4 linked regions of the Nothobranchius furzeri genome follow. The main gene of each other region encodes a partner of the protein of the gene in region 3 in a complex. Links are inferred from orthologs where the notes say so. Each region holds a gene or a part of one and is shown on either strand. Other genes may lie near its edges.

Region 1 (4,805 bases), on a different chromosome or scaffold from region 3:
TTTTTTTTCGCTACCTTCAAGTCAGACACTGTGTTAGGGAATGGTGCCCAAATCTTGAACCCTCTTCCACCACACACACCCTTATTAAGAATTTTTTGCTTCCTCCAAACTCCAAGCGGATTGTGTCAAAGTTTGTTAGCTGCTTTGCTGCCACAGTTTCCTCAGACTTTCATAGAGAGGCTTGGGCAGTGGACTTGAACTGTGAGGCGTCTGACGCACTCTGGGAAGGAGCATTATCTCAGATTACCCGCTGTTCCGTCAACTCTCGCCTTAGATTGATCCAGTTTACGGTTCTACACAGGCTGCATTACTCTAAAATAAAATTGAACAAAATGTTCCCATCTGCGTCTACCGAGTGTGACAGATGCCATATAGCAGAAGGTTCGTTAGCACATTTATTCTGGTTCTGTCCTTCATTGAGCAGATTCTGGTCTGCAATCTTTAAATGTTGTTCAGATGTTTATGGTAGTGACATTCAGCCCACCCCCACACTGGCAATTCTTGGATGTCCTTCGCTGGCTCCTCGGCTGCCACAGCACATGGGGACCGCTCTACAGTTAGGGATGGTTGTGGCTTAAAAACTCATTCTTCTGAAATGGAAATCTACAACCCCACCTTCTTTTGGACATTGGCTCACAGAGATGCTACATGTCATTCAACTGGAATTGCTACATTCACACAAGACTGGCTCTCGCAGCAAGCTTGAGGAGGGCTGGAGACCTTTCCTAACCCACTACAAGGTTATCTAGCTGGTGAAATGGTTTGGATTAATGACTGGTGCTGAAACATACCTAATATAATGTTGCTCTATCATCTGTAAATGTGCTTAATAGTAACTGTTTTATATACCTTTCTGTTTACAGTGTGGTCTGGCAGCCGTAAACGTATGTTTGTTTATATGGCTTGACTAAAAACCTGAAAAACAAAATATTATATAAAAAAAAAACCTGGTTGTTTATTGGAAGAGATCGTGAACACCTGCTGGTCTTTTTTTTCCCATGAAATTACGGTATATTTTTGTGTATTTGTTATTGATGTTTTATGTTAAAAAATTATCTAAATTGAAAGATTATTATGATTATTATTTATGAATTAAAGAATTATAAAAATGTAACGTTTCAGTTCATGAACAAACTCAAAACCTGAGTTTTGAATAAATAGATAGATAATCTATTTAAGGGTAGAGGTGAGCGCTGATGAGAGAATGATGTACAGCTGGAGAAGGAACACAATAAACATCTTTTGTGAAGAACCTGAAACTTGGTGCATACTTCCAGAAACATTACAAGCCAGACATCCCATCAAACGTTGACCTCATGGACTCATCGAGTTGTCTGAAACCAGGAGATGCTACCGCTCCCATTTCTTCCGCCTGTCGCTAGAAGTCGAGTGAAGAAGCAGCTGGAGGCTGAACAGGAACAAAAATGCAGGTCCTGGTGGCGTCAGCCCCATGCCTAGAATGTTTTAACACTGGTTTGGTCTAGATGCGTGGTTCGGTTTGGAGGCTGGAACCGGCGACAACACCGGAAGTGACACCAGGTCGTTGGCGTTGAGATCAGCGAGCAGGACTAGCTAGCTAAACCGGCAAAGGATACCGGGGGAGGGAGAGGAGCCGGTCAACGAAAGAATCATCAGCCCCACGGGATGAAACATTGATTGCCGTCTTCAAACACACTCTAACACGGTAAATGTAAATATTTTGGTTTTGTTAGGTTAGCGGTGACGTGTGGAACGAGTAACTACGTTTGTTGAGCTAGCTAACCCGCTAACAACTAGCTAAACGGAGCTAGGTAGCGCTGTCGCGGGAGTTAACCAGGTCCCGCGGTTGTTGAAGACTTTCCAGCGTTTTGGTGATCGTTTTTCATGTCCCCAGTTACATAAATGTTCGCTAAGGACTGGGAGGTTTATATGTGGTCTGTGGAACGAATTCCTGTGTTAATAAAGAATGTGTAGTGGGTGGTCTACCGTGACGTAAGCTAGCATGCTAAGCTACACCCCTAGGCCTCGCATTCCTAGAAAATGTCCTGTTTCTCAGTGTTCCGTGTTAATAAACGCTTTCTTAGTCAGGGAGAACCACATAAAACGTTAATCCACGTTTATCTCTGCGAATTCGACCATAATTGCTGTAACGTGTGACCGTTTGTTAAAACGTTTTTGTTCCTTTACAGATCATTATCACCATTACCAAAGCCACCCAGATTAAAGCAGCCGTCTCTGTAAAGGAAGGAGTCCTCTATTTTATTCCGTGGTTGCTCTGTGGGCTAGGAGCATACATCTGAGTGTGTGGACGGTGTGTAACTAGCTCCCTCTATGTGTGTGACAATGGGAGACATCAGTGACCTGGACCGACAGATAGAGCAGCTCAGGCGCTGTGAGCTCATCAAGGAAAATGAAGTCAAAGCATTGTGTGCCAAAGCCAGGTACTCCATCACGTTACTTCTGATGAAGATGTTGTTGTAATGTTAAATGGTAAACGACCGGATAGAGCACCTCCTAGAGTCCTGGAACAATGTTATGAATCACTGTTGTGGTTATCGTCCTTGCCCGTGCATACAATGATTGCTTGATGTTCAGTGTGACAGATGTATTTGTTTATAAAGTAGCTGTAAAAACACAATTTTCTAAAATGTGGGTGTATTTTCAGAGAAATCCTGGTTGAAGAAAGCAATGTCCAGAGAGTAGACTCTCCTGTCACGGTATCTCCTCGTTTGTCGAAAAATCTACTCACTCTTTTAAAAGTGGCCAAATGTATAAATGTTTTTGTTTTTGCAGGTGTGTGGCGATATTCACGGTCAATTCTATGACCTGAAAGAGCTCTTCAGAGTAAGTTTCTGTTCATTTTGGCTTACTGTTGTCAAAAACCGTAGTAATTTTTTATTTTGTTTGGTACCGGTGACACTGAACAGTGATAAATGTCCTAAAGCTTATACGTAAGAATTTTTTTGAGTGATATTCGTCCGTCCAAAAAAATGACGTGTATATTCAAGCATACCTTTAGACGCTCTGACATGCTGCACGGAGCGCCCCATATACTGTTAATGTTATTTTGTAGAATGGTGTTATGGTTTCACATTCATGATTTCTATCAGTAAGCAGGAGGAGCTGAGAGGTCAGAGCAGTCAGAGAGAAATTATAATACTGTTTTGCTGTCAGACTGTGGAAGTTCTTGCTGAACTTTATTCTGTTTCATGAACCAGGGTGACTTGAACTGATAAATTAAACTGGGAGGAAACTTTTGTCTACCTTTAGAGTTAGATGTTTGCTTGTTTCTTCTCCTCAGAGACACAATGGACACAAGAAGATCATAAAAGACAAAATGTCCCCAAAGGAAGGGTTAGTTAAGGGGAGGTAGCTGTTATTAAATAAAATCCTATAAATATAATTAAATTAAATCCTAATCCAGCCCACTGCCTCCTGCTTGTATTATTATTATTATTATTAGCAAATACAAAATAAACATCCATCATTTTATTGGCAGTTTATGGTTCTTTTAGTGTTTTCAGCAGCAGAGACTGGTTCCTGCTCCATCTCATGTATGAAATGAGACCACTGGGTTCAAACAAAATAACGAACCAGGCCAAACATGTTATTTATCTTATTTCATTGATAAATGTAGTTTTTAAAGCTCAATTTTTAAGTTGTTAATTTAAAAGCAAATATTTTAAATATGATTAAATACCTGCTAAAAAGCACTAGGATGTGGGAAATGACATCTGCTCACTAAAACTTCTCAGTGGGAGTCCCCCAGACCAACTCCCCCATCACCGGATATCCTCTCAGGGGGTGGCTACTTTCCTTGATGTGGAGTGGGTCTCATCTTCTTCACCCTTGACCCATTTTCATGTCTGAGTTAGAAGGCACAAAGGGATGCCCACATATTCCACAACCACCAAACCCAGTGTGTCTGATGGTGTGAGTGTAAAATTGAGATAAAGCACATGCATGCTCATTATTAATGCAGGCATGTGCTTTAATAATGAGCATGATATCGATATCGGAAGTAATTCGATTTTGGCTCAAAAATACTGTATCTGACTATATCGGACTGCGTCAGAAATCTCCGATATAAGCAGCTGGTTACGGTTCACAATTTTGCAACCAGTGGTTAAAAAAAAGCCCCCTTTTTCACACTTACTGTTATTAGCTCTTGCACACGTTCCATTGCTGTTTCTCACCAGTATCAGCTGATGGAGGGCTCTTGCGCCGTTCATGTCAGGGGGCACGGTAGGGTCGGGGAGGGGGGGCGGGCATGACTCTTAGCCTGGCGGGTGGCCAAGCTTATAAAGCGCTGGGGGAAACCCTGCAGAGTGAGGGACTCTGGTTGTGCATCAGAATTATATTAAAAGAGTAAAAAACACACTATAATTAACGCTTTTTCAGTCTACTGTTTTTAATATAAATCTGACTCACAACTAAGGTCCCACATTCGTTACAGTTATGAACAACAAGTAAAGAGGGAGTGGGATGACCGCTGGAATGTCCGTCAGATTCAAAACCGGTTGCACAGCAGCCCGTCTGACATCAAATACACAGCTCTGCTTGTGATTGCACGCTCATAAGTGCATTCTGGAGGCCACGGTTTTTAAAAACACCAGTTTTCTCGTATTTAACTAAACAATTACACAGACTGTTCCTTATTTACTAGACAAATAAGGAGTCAGACGCAGCAGGAGCGTTATGACCGACTGACCTGTTGCTGGCCTCGGTTCAGGTTGCTGCACCATGTTCTGCCGGGCTCGGTGCTTTGATGTGAGGCTTGTGTTCCGGGAATGAAATAAGAATAAAATGCTCCCAAACTGCTAACC
Region 2 (3,363 bases), on a different chromosome or scaffold from region 3:
GGTGTCGAAGGTTAAGCTGACTGTGCATCAGTCAGTCAGACAGGTAAGACAGGCAGGTGAGCTGTGATGGGGTTTTAGGCGGCGAGGCTAAATCAAAGGAGTCGTGTCCATTAAGCCTTTGTTTGGGTCCAAGCTGGCAAAGAACCTCACGTCGCGGTCCTTGTCAGACTGCAGAGTCATCACTGTCTCTTCAAGCTCGTCGGAGTAGGCACAGCCCGGCTCCTTGAAGTAAGCTGGAAGGAAGCAAACGGGAACTTCGTAACAAACATTATCCTCTTTTGCTTGTGCAATTCTGAGCTGAGGATGTTTTACAAGCTGCATGTCCCACACCGGGTCTATTTATAGATCACCTTTCTCCATGACGCTCTGTCGTAAAGCCTTGGCCACCAAAACTCGGACGTTAGCCACCGGATCAGAGGAGAGGCTGAGGAGGCTGGGCAACAGATGCTGGCTGAACTGCTCCATGGGCATGCAGTCCTCCTCAACCACGGCCTGCAGGGAGAACCACAAAACTATCAAACTCAGACAACTAGTGGAGGGGGGGGGGGGTCAACTATTGTAACCACAGGAGAACATTTGTCAGATCAGTCAGAGAAAATGGTGCTTCCCCACTTCTCCCATTAGATCCACAGACCTGGCAGATGAAAGCAAAGGCCTGCCTCCCCACCCACTTGGGACAGTGGCAAAACCTGACGGTGAGCTCGTTGATGAAATTCAGGCCAAGGTCGTCAGCACCACATGCATAAAGTTTCTGGAGGATCTCCACCACCTGAGAGCAGAGGAAGTGATGACACACTCGCTCCATCTACACAGTGTTCATTTACACGGTTTCATTAAAAACAAACACCAGTATTTAGAACCTAATTCTGTTGGGCAAAAGTTCACAAGCTGCTTGCATTTTTCCTCCACAGGTCAGTTTGCGCAGCCGGCAGTAAAACGTACCAGTTTGTAGGAGATCCACCTGACCTCTGAGACCTTGTCAGAGCAGAGGGTGAGGGCGATCTGTCTGAGGTAGTCATACACATCGTAGTGGCTGTACAGCTCAATGATCAAGATCAGCTGCCTAGAGGACAAAGCCAGTGAGGCACACGGTGAATGCACGGGGACATACCGGCCGACTGATATATCTGTCCACTCCTAGTGAAGATCCTCTCTCCCTCAGAGACACTTACTCTGCCAGCTCATATCTGAATCTCCAGTTTCGACTGTTGTCCGTCACCATGAACTCCTGCAGCTGGTACAGATACTCTCTCCTTTTGTCTGCGTGCAGCAGCTGCGACACAAACCTGCTCCGTTATCAACAGCAAACAACCTCCTCTCTCGCAGACCTGCCAACCTTGTCAAACATTTTTTGAGTACCACCTGTGCGGCGTTTTTCGCAGACTTTTACAACTCCATTGCTTTTCACGCTGTAATCTCCCCATTCACTGGATGGAAAATTTCACACACACACACACACGCACACACACACTTTACCTTACCAGAACAGCAGCGAGTGGCGAACCAGTGGGAGAGAGGAGGAACGAGGCAGGGAGGAGGGGGGTTTTAGGCTACTGGTTAGGCAGGATAGGCTTACTCTGCTTTTCTACGATGATTGGCTTAAACTTCTTCACCACGCCACTGAGTCGTGTTGTCAGACACGAGTACCACACGTACATATTTGCCACAGAACTCAACTCACGTATCCGCAGCTTTGTGCGAAGTTTAAATGGGTGAGTCGTACCAGCGTAAATAGATGCCAAATTGCATACTGGCGACGCAAAATGCGTACAGGTTGGCAGGTTTGCTCTCGTTATGGCGCAGTGGAGATCTTACCTTCAGGAAGTCGTACAGGTGCTTGAGCACGCCGATGCGAACCTCATCTAGGTCTTTGAGGAAGCCGTTGAAGATGGGAACCAGATCAGCTGCAGTCAGCTGGTCCCCCAGGATAACCGCCAGCTCATGGATGGAGAAAGCCAACGTTCGCCGCACCTTCCACTGAGAGGGAAAATGTGGGGAATTAAAACCATAAAGCCAGTGCTAATAATCCAACACAAAGTGGAGTGTCTGTGGTGACCTTAAGCATGAACCACTACAGATCCTGTTTTCTGATGAGCTTCAAAGCTACAAAGGCCCAAACACCAGACATCATTACACTTGTGATTTCCTGATACCTACCTGCACGTCCGTGGCGAGGGTTTCATATGTGTCCTTTAGGCAGTGCCAATTCTGTCGGCCCAGAGTGAGCGCCACACCCGGAAGGCTGAAGGCACAGTGTTTGGCTATCTCCGTGTCCACCGTCTGGGCCCGGGCGGGGTCCGTCATAGAGAGGTACTGATCCAACAGCTGCTGAGGGATGACATTCTGCAGACAGGAAGTCCAAGTTAGATGATTAAACACGAGGAATCCATAATGATCGTGGGATTCGTTTATCATGACCGACCTGGATTTTGGGCTTATCCTCTGACGTTGGGCTGTGAAGACAGGCGTCCTTTTCCTCCTCCTCCACATTTTCAATTAAGCTAGACTCCTGAGGAAAATGAGAACCCACAAAAACGTAAAAGAGCAGGAAAGTACAAGCGAAAACCACAAATATCTCAAATCATCCATGAAAACAACTAAAATAGTTTTAACAAACGGTTTAACAAAGCTGCCACAGACTCCAAACTATTGCATGAAAAATCTAATCAACAGAAAAAATAATAAACACTGCGATGCAGCTCTGAGCCGTTAAAACAGGGTCGCCCTTGGAAACCTAAAACAGCTGACAATCATGGTTTGGGGCCAGAACATCCTCTGCTGTTGTTGAAGTTGTTCTCTGCTTTATATTGCATTTGATTAAATATATTATGCAACTGTGCACAAATGGATGCGTCTGTGGTGTATAATAGTTTCTACACCTTTACCAGTTTCCCTAAGAGTGATAACCGTAGATGTGCATGTGCTCCTGCCATAGTTAGTGAGGCTGCGCACGTCTCCACGATCATTTCATGGCCATGTTTTTATGGATATGTACCCGTAGTATCTGAGGCCCCAGAACAGGAGAGTTGGGTGGAGACTCCTCCTGCTTCTCCAGAGGTTCAGTTTGAGTCTCTTCATTTTCTTGCTCCTGGACCGGACACGTTTCTGCAGCTGGAGAAATTTCCATTGTTTCTTCTTGGTCTGTGCTAGCGTCCTCCATCTCCGGCTGTAGATCAATAGAAATGCCGTCCCCTGATAGGCCCTCAGGGCTGTCTTCAGGCGGCTCCTCGGTAGGGCTGGTTTCTGTCGGGCTGCCGTCAGACGGGCTGTCGAGCTGGGCCGCCTTCAGAGCTGCTGACAAGACTTGGACTTGAACTGGAGGTGAAATACACACTCAGTTAAATCTACACACCAGTAAAATCT
Region 3 (4,840 bases):
CATATTGTAAATTAACATGCATGACCTCACCCATCTTGGCTCACGACGAGGAAGGCTGTTGTTGATTTAGCGTCCTGGAAACGGCGAGAATGTCACTGCTGGTAGAAGCTAATCGTTAGCATCAGCAACTCCACAACATGGCAGAACTGCTTCAGGCTTGTGTTATTTGTGGAGATAAAACATCAACGTTGCAAAGCAAATAGAGTCAGTGGTAGAGTCGCGTTGCTGTTAGCCAATCAGAGGCCAGATTTTTCATATCATTACTAATAATGAGTCAGACTCCAAATCCTGCTGTTTTCTGCTGTCTTTTGTTTTCCTTCATATTCATAAATTCAGGGCGGTACCATCCACTCATGGATTTTATGTTTATTATATATTTATTTTCCATTCATTTGTAGCAAGAACAGCAGCTGGAGTTTGGTGCTGTCTACACTGCCACCATCACAGAAATAAGGTAAGGAAATAAAATCAGAATGGTTATTATGAATTACATTAGTGGGTAAGTGGATCACTGGACATTGATCTGTGGAGTATTAAAATAATTTGGGTTCATTTGCCCACTAAGAGTTTTTCTCCTCTGCTTTAGGGATATTGGAGTGATGGTGAAACTTTATCCCAACATGAGTCCAGTGCTACTGCACAACTCCCAGCTGGACCATAAACGGGTCTGTATTTGTGAGCCTTTGTTTAGTCGATTTAGGTTTTGTGTGTAAAAAACAAAACAAAAATAAAACTAAAATTCGAGACTCTTCAAATATAAATATATATTTTTTGCACTTAGATCAAACATCCAAGTGCTTTGGGCTTAGAAGTGGGACAGGAGATACAGGTATGCATCATTAACTACGACTGGTTAAAAGTAGAAATCGTGTGTCCATTTTGGGTTGATCACGTTTCATTTGTGCTCAGGTCAAGTACTTTGGACGGGATCCAACAGATGGAAGGATGAGGCTTTCGCGAAAGGTGCTCCAGTCTCCTGCTGCAACTGTGGTTAAAACCCTGAGTGAGAAACAGAGCATCTCTATGGGCAACAGCAACAGGACCGAAATGGACGTATGACACCATGCTTCAGCAGACGGGATTGAAACTGTCGAGATATTTTGAGAAAAGGAACATATGGACATATTTACTGAAGGAAATAACATGAGGTGCTTGTTTATTAACTCTAAATAGCTACTGAGTTCTGGTACTCTTTACTGAAACATCCTCTAATAAATCTGCCTCAGCCACATCTGATTGAGATACAGATGATGTTGATTCTAATGTTTTTTTTTTTCCGACATTGCCTTTTATGTTTTTTACGTCACTTGAAACAACAAGTCTGTGTTTCTGTTGGTCACACCTGGTGTGATAATACAGGTGTGAGTGGATGGACGTATGAGTTGTGCTCAAGAGACTCATGGTGTATTTATAGTAAATGTGATATGTGTATTTACCAATATTAATCATTTTTATAGCTAAAACTCATTTTCGTAAATAAAATACACAAAATAATCCAGACGGTTACTAATATTTTTACTTTCGATAGAAGGCGCTGTGTTGTACTGCTAGTAAATTAAGCCCCGCCTACCCCACGGCGGTTAGTGTTTGACAACTACGAAGAAAAAGATCGGATTACAAGATGGTGGTCTGTGGACGCTAGCAGGCAGGCCGTTGGAGTTGTGTGCTCTTTTAATTTCACTGTTTGGTTGTCAGGCCTCCTTGCTTTATTCCGTAGACGAAATATGTTGAAGTAGCCACAAATATTTATAACAGCAGTTGCAAGTTCCAATTAGACGTGCATGTTTTATAACATGCAGATGGGAAAAAAGTTAAAAGGTCGAGGAAAACACTAGACGGCGTGAGGAGATAGGCTGTTAGCATCCAGCTAGCTAGCTCCGACTCGATTAGCCATGTCGGACACTCGGCGGCGTGTTAAAGTGTACACCCTGAACGAAGACAGACAATGGGACGATCGAGGCACCGGACACGTCTCGTCTACATTCGTGGAGCGACTAAAAGGGATTTCACTCTTAGTTCGAGCTGAATCGGACGGTAGGTTCTCCGTTAGCATAGCCGCATTCACGCTACGTTGGCTATAACTTTAGCATGCTATCTCCTTGTCCTCAGAACGCCTTGGTTCATATTTTGTTTTGAGGGGCGTCATATGTTATGTACGTTTATTCTTACTTTTGTGGCTCACCGTATTCGACAGTTAAAATTCAAAGCAACAACCTTGTCCTATACAAGTTTTTTTTAAATAGCAATGCTTCACATGCTCATTTGTTTAAAACACGACATCACGATCACGCACGGGGGCTCCTCGAAGTCTCACGGTACACGTTCAAACTTGGAGTTGCTCATATTTGGCTCCAGCACACATTTAAATACAGATTATCTTAAGTTACTTGTCAAATGTGGATTTTGGTTAACATTAAGTGTATATTTTCAAAGTTATGTCCAGTTTAGTGTTGTTAGTAATTACTTGACCACGTTTTGCTGTTAATATAGCAATCATATGTACTGTTTATATAATCGACTATCATCACAATTTTAGGATCGTTGCTGTTGGAGTCGAAGATAAGTCCAAATACCGCATATCAGAAACAACAGGTAGTAAGCCTTCACGACACGTGGTATCTTGATCTGTGTGAATGAAAACTTCTGATTGCCATAACCAGCCGAGACTCTTAAACCAAAACTGGATGTTTGTTTCTCTCTCTGTAGGACACACTGATTGTCTGGTCTGAAGCAGATAATTATGATCTTGCCTTAAGTTTCCAGGAAAAGGCTGGTTGTGATGAGATTTGGGAGAAAATTTGTCAGGTATCGTTCAGCCAGCAAAGTTGATGAATGTCATCCTCTCTGAATTGCTATTGACATAACAATCATTTATAACTCAGGTTCAAGGTAAGGACCCTGCTCTGGACATCACCCAGGACCCAATTGATGAGTCAGAGGAAGACCACTTTGAGGAGATCCCGGAGACAACGCATCTGGTTGAGCTGCCTCCTTGTGAGTTAAGTCGACTGGAGGAAATAGCTGATCTGGTTACCTCTGTCTTGTCGTCGCCTATCCGAAGAGAAAAACTTGCCCTGGCACTGATGAGTGAGGGCTACATCAAGAAACTGCTGGGTCTCTTCAGAGTATGTGAGGATCTGGAGAACAGAGAAGGTCTGCATCACCTCTATGAGATTGTGCGAGGTGTCTTGTTCCTCAACAAAGCAGCTCTATTTGAGATTATGTTCTCCGACGACTGTATCATGGATGTAGTGGGTTGCCTGGAGTACGACCCGGCCCTGGTTCAGCCTAAACGACACAGGGAATTCTTGACCAAGACGGCAAAGTTTAAGGAGGTGATCCCTATCACAGACTCTGAGCTGCGGCAGAAAATCCACCAGACATACCGTGTTCAGTACATCCAGGACATAATCCTGCCCACACCATCCGTCTTTGAGGAAAACTTCCTATCCACACTCACGTCCTTCATCTACTTCAACAAAGTGGAAATAGTCAGTATGTTGCAGGTAAGGATTCAAAACGCTCAAAATGAATTAAATTCTGACATTTCTAAAGTTTGTGTGGTGTATTACTGATTATGTATGATGTTTAATAACATTACATCTTAATTAGTTCCTTTAGTTTTCATTGTTTTTAGATAATTTAGTAGGGATGCAACGATACCCCTTTTTTCCAAACCGATACGATACCGATACTTGGATCTGAGTACTCGCCGATACCGATTACCGATACTTCTACCACACAAACAAAATGCAATGGTTTGGAATACAGATTTTATTTTCTTCTCTGCTTTCAACAGGAAAAGACTGTGAGGTAGATAAAAAGTAAAATATATGAATAGAAGTCATCACAAAACTAAAATATTAGGTGAACAGAAATGACTAGTTACAGTGAAGCCATTTTCAAGCAACTGCATTGGTATCGGTTAACTTTACCCCAATACTGGAATCTGTATCGGCACCGGTGCATCCCTATCATTTAGTAAACTCATCTTTCCTGTACTGAAAAATTGGATTTTATAGGGGATGATAAATTAAATGTGAACATCTGAGAAGACCGTTTTTGTTGTGACTCAGTTTGTCTTTTAAAAACAGATCTGTTAAGATTTGCGGACAGTTGGATGTGTTTTGTGATTGTTCTGGCATGACTCTTGAGTGAGGGATGTGTTGCAGACAATGTCTCATTTTCTAAATAATTTAACAATTTCAGAGTTCTGTATTAAATTAAGGTAAACAATTGCTTCTGTTCAAGTGTTTAAAAAAGATATTTTGTGTTTAAATGGTTTACCCTTTGATATAAAAATCTTGTATTTGTGCAGCTTCAGTGTTTAATGTGAATAAACACCGAAATGCTGTGAATGATTTAAAGTGACGCACAGTGACATCAGAGATTTCTGCTGCTGGAAATACGGCAAAGCAAATGTAAACAAAAGGAGCAGTAGTAAAAGGGAAACATGAATTTCTGTTAGTTTCTTCCAACTGTTCTACAGGTGAGCGGAAACAGTTCTAAAGATTGTACAGAATGATCATGGTAAGCTCAAATAATCGTCACGGGATTAGGTTTATTTTTTATCCTCAGTTTGAATTTATTATAAGTCTTTAACTTTTTCATTACTTGGTAATCTTGTGTGCTAACACACATTCTGACTCTGCTGCAGGAGGATGAGAAGTTCCTGACGGAGGTCTTTGCACAGCTCACAGACGAAGCCACAGACAGTAAAAGAAGGGAGCTAGTAAGTGCAACTGTCATCAAATATGGATAGATAAATATATATATATTTACTGTTTTCTTTTAGGTGCTTTGTGCGTGTCATAACTGTTTTCTCTCCATGCTTCCTAGG
Region 4 (3,095 bases), on a different chromosome or scaffold from region 3:
GATGATGATGATGACGATAATGGTGGTGATGGTGATGATGACGATGATGATGATGATGGTGATGACGACTGTGATGACTATGGTGATGGTGACGATGATGGTGGTGACGATGATGTCGGTGATGATGATGATGATGATGGTGACGATGATGATGATGATGACGATAATGGTGGTGATGGTGATGATGACGATGATGATGATGATGATGGTGACGACTGTGATGACTATGGTGATGGTGACGATGATGGTGGTGACGATGATGGTGGTGATGATGATGGTGGTGGTGGTGATGATGATGATGGTCACGACGATGATGGTGATAGTGGTGGTGGTGATGATGATAATGATGATGAGATAATGACGATGATGGTGATGATGATGATGACGATCATGACAACGGTGGTGATGATGATGATGGTGGTGATGATGGTGGTGGTGATGATGATGATGATAATGGTGGTGATGATGGTGGTGATTGTGATGATGATGACGATCATGATGATGGTGGTGGTGATGGTGACGATGATGATGATGATAATGATGATGACGATGGTGGTGATGATGACGATCATGATGACGATGGTGGTGGTGATGATGGTGGTGATTGTGATGATGATGACGATCATGATGATGGTGGTGGTGATGGTGACGATGATGATGATGACGATCATGATGACGATGGTGGTGGTGGTGGTGATGATGATGACGATGGTGATGATGATGGTGGTGGTGGTGGTGATGATAATGATGATGGCGATAATGATGACGATTGGTGGTGGTGATGATGATGATGATGATGACGATAATGATGACGATGGTGGTGATGATGATGAGGATGATGATGACGATGGTGGTGGTGGTGGTGGTGATTATGATGACGATGGTGAAGATGGTGATGATGATGATGGTGGTGATGGTGGTGGTGATGGTGGTGGTGATGATGACGATGGTGATGATGGTGATGGTGGTGGTGATGATGATGATGGTGGTGATGGTGGTGGTGATGGTGGTGGTGATGATGACGATGGTGATGATGGTGATGGTGGTGGTGATGATGATGATGGTGGTGATGGTGGTGGTGGTGGTGGTGATGATGATGGTGATGGTGGTGGTGATGATGATGGTGATGGTGGTGGTGATGATGATGATGGTGGTGGTGGTGATGATGATGGTGGTGGTGGTGGTGTTGATGAGGATGATGATGGCGATCATGATGACAATGTTGGTGGTGGTGGTGGTGGTGATGATGATGACGATGGTGGTGGTGGTGATGATTATGGTGGTGGTGATGATGATGACGATGGTGGTGGTGGTGATGATTATGGTGGTGGTGGTGATGATGATGATGGTGGTGATGGTGGTGGTGGTGGTGGTGATGATGATGGTGATGGTGGTGGTGATGATGATGGTGATGGTGGTGGTGATGATGATGATGGTGGTGGTGGTGGTGGTGTTAATGAGGATGATGATGGCGATCATGATGACAATGTTGGTGGTGGTGGTGGTGGTGATGATGATGACGATGGTGGTGGTGGTGATGATTATGGTGGTGGTGATGATGGTGACGATGGTGATGATGGTGGTGGTGATGGTGGTGATGACGATGATGATGATGATGACGATCATGATGACACTGGTGGTGGTGGTGATGATGACGATGGTGGTGGTGGTGATGATTATGGTGGTGGTGATGATGGTGATGATGGTGATAATGTACATGATGATTATGGCGGTGGTGGTGGTGGTGGTGATGTTAATGATGATGATGGTGGTAATGAAGATGGTAAACATAGTTACCAGGGCTTCTTTTGTGCAGGTAAAGAGATGAGAAGAAGCAAACTGTCACGCAGTCGGTCCCTCAGTAGCCAGCCTCCAACGTCTAAACCTGTCCACTCAGAGAAATCTCAGTAAGAACCCTAAACCCACCAGCAGGTTTATCTTGTGTCTGTTTGTCCATTTTGGTTTTAAACAACTGAGCAGGTTTTTTTTTTTACTTTTCTTTTTTTTTCTGTGTTTCAGGAAGGTCAAAGATCTGGGATGCTCCTCTGGACTAGGAAAGTCCTCCACGATGTCCACCAAAGGTAGCTACACAGCTGTTAAAGTTCAATTCTCTTCCTCACTCACTCACTCACTCACTCACTCACTCACTCACTCACACACACACACACACATCCAAACACAGCGGTGGCAGTAGTGTATCATGGTCTGTCTGAAACAGTAGAGTAAAATCGGAATGAGCCGACTGTTCCAACATAGCCCATGTGACTGTCTCTACTCTTACATCACTTCCTGTTTCAGATGACTCTGTGAGGGCCGCCCACTTCACTTTGACAACCCAGTCCACCTCCTCCATGCCTGTTCTGATCTGCAGCAACACTACAAGCCTTCTGGACAGAGCCAGTATCTTGGACCAGAAAGACCACAGAATCCGAACACTAGACCACAGAACTAGTAATATGGACCACAGAAACAATATGATGGAGTATAGAACCAGTAACTTGGACCAAAGAGACTTCAGAACCAGTATCTTGGACCAAAGAGACTTCAGAACCAGTAACTTGGACCAAAGAGACTTCAGAACCAGTATCTTGGACCAAAGAGAGCACAGGACCAGTACCTTAGACAAGAGAGACTTCAGAACCAGTATCTCGGACCAGAGAGAACACAGAACCAGTACCTTGGGGCAGCGTAGTAAAACAATGGACCATGGCTATGGGACGAGTGACTCTCAGTCCAAGAAGTTGTCCATGTGAGTTCTGGTTTAATTTTCTCCTGTGGCTGGTTTGTCTGGGTCAGGTCTTCTGGGTGTGAGCTTCTGGTGTCAGGACCCTTCTTAACCTGTTATTGGCCTGGGATTTGGATTGTTAGGGTTAGGCTTTGAGATCTGGTGATTGAAGCCATTTGTTTTGTCCCTGTGAGGGAGCAAGTGTAAAAGCAGGAGTCAGTTAGAAAAACAGGGTTTTTATTACAATCCAAAAAAGGATTGCTCTAAAAGAGACACCCCTTTAACAACACACCCTAACTCAGAGTAAATCACACTTCTGTGATATCAAACTGTCCAATCGATAGAAGTTCATACACCAACTGGCTTGGTC

Evidence for each region.
Region 1: ppp4r3b (region 3) and serine/threonine-protein phosphatase 4 catalytic subunit B share a complex: the UniProt entries of both Homo sapiens proteins name them as parts of the PP4 complex. The link is inferred for Nothobranchius furzeri from reciprocal best matches to the Homo sapiens genes PPP4R3B and PPP4C.
Region 2: ppp4r3b (region 3) and ppp4r1l share a complex: the UniProt entries of both Homo sapiens proteins name them as parts of the PP4 complex. The link is inferred for Nothobranchius furzeri from reciprocal best matches to the Homo sapiens genes PPP4R3B and PPP4R1.
Region 4: ppp4r3b (region 3) and ppp4r4 share a complex: the UniProt entries of both Homo sapiens proteins name them as parts of the PP4 complex. The link is inferred for Nothobranchius furzeri from reciprocal best matches to the Homo sapiens genes PPP4R3B and PPP4R4.

Annotation. Positions count from the first base shown.
Region 1 is NC_091758.1:11,558,987-11,563,791, forward strand, and holds the start of serine/threonine-protein phosphatase 4 catalytic subunit B, read left to right. Parts: upstream 1-1,493; 5' UTR 1,494-1,684; intron 1,685-2,168; 5' UTR 2,169-2,310; coding exon 2,311-2,420; intron 2,421-2,644; coding exon 2,645-2,696; intron 2,697-2,772; coding exon 2,773-2,823; intron 2,824-4,805. UniProt on the Homo sapiens protein: Protein phosphatase that is involved in many processes such as microtubule organization at centrosomes, maturation of spliceosomal snRNPs, apoptosis, DNA repair, tumor necrosis factor (TNF)-alpha signaling, activation of c-Jun N-terminal kinase MAPK8, regulation of histone acetylation, DNA damage checkpoint signaling, NF-kappa-B activation and cell migration.
Region 2 is NC_091743.1:58,789,788-58,793,150, reverse strand, and holds part of ppp4r1l (serine/threonine-protein phosphatase 4 regulatory subunit 1), read right to left. Parts: intron 3,316-3,363; coding exon 2,996-3,315; intron 2,510-2,995; coding exon 2,423-2,509; intron 2,344-2,422; coding exon 2,158-2,343; intron 1,978-2,157; coding exon 1,816-1,977; intron 1,274-1,815; coding exon 1,173-1,273; intron 1,064-1,172; coding exon 943-1,063; intron 770-942; coding exon 635-769; intron 493-634; coding exon 351-492; intron 234-350; coding exon 88-233; 3' UTR 1-87. UniProt on the Homo sapiens protein: Regulatory subunit of serine/threonine-protein phosphatase 4. May play a role in regulation of cell division in renal glomeruli. The PPP4C-PPP4R1 PP4 complex may play a role in dephosphorylation and regulation of HDAC3.
Region 3 is NC_091752.1:26,257,615-26,262,454, reverse strand, and holds the start of ppp4r3b (serine/threonine-protein phosphatase 4 regulatory subunit 3B), read left to right. Parts: upstream 1-1,660; 5' UTR 1,661-1,892; coding exon 1,893-2,034; intron 2,035-2,536; coding exon 2,537-2,592; intron 2,593-2,706; coding exon 2,707-2,805; intron 2,806-2,882; coding exon 2,883-3,506; intron 3,507-4,657; coding exon 4,658-4,732; intron 4,733-4,839; coding exon 4,840-4,840. Other genes in the region: pnpt1 (polyribonucleotide nucleotidyltransferase 1, mitochondrial), read left to right, coding at 399-454, 587-665, 782-829, 910-1,059. UniProt on the Homo sapiens protein: Regulatory subunit of serine/threonine-protein phosphatase 4 (PP4). May regulate the activity of PPP4C at centrosomal microtubule organizing centers.
Region 4 is NC_091742.1:16,616,248-16,619,342, reverse strand, and holds part of ppp4r4 (serine/threonine-protein phosphatase 4 regulatory subunit 4), read left to right. Parts: intron 1-1,816; coding exon 1,817-1,907; intron 1,908-2,019; coding exon 2,020-2,081; intron 2,082-2,298; coding exon 2,299-2,749; intron 2,750-3,095. UniProt on the Homo sapiens protein: Putative regulatory subunit of serine/threonine-protein phosphatase 4.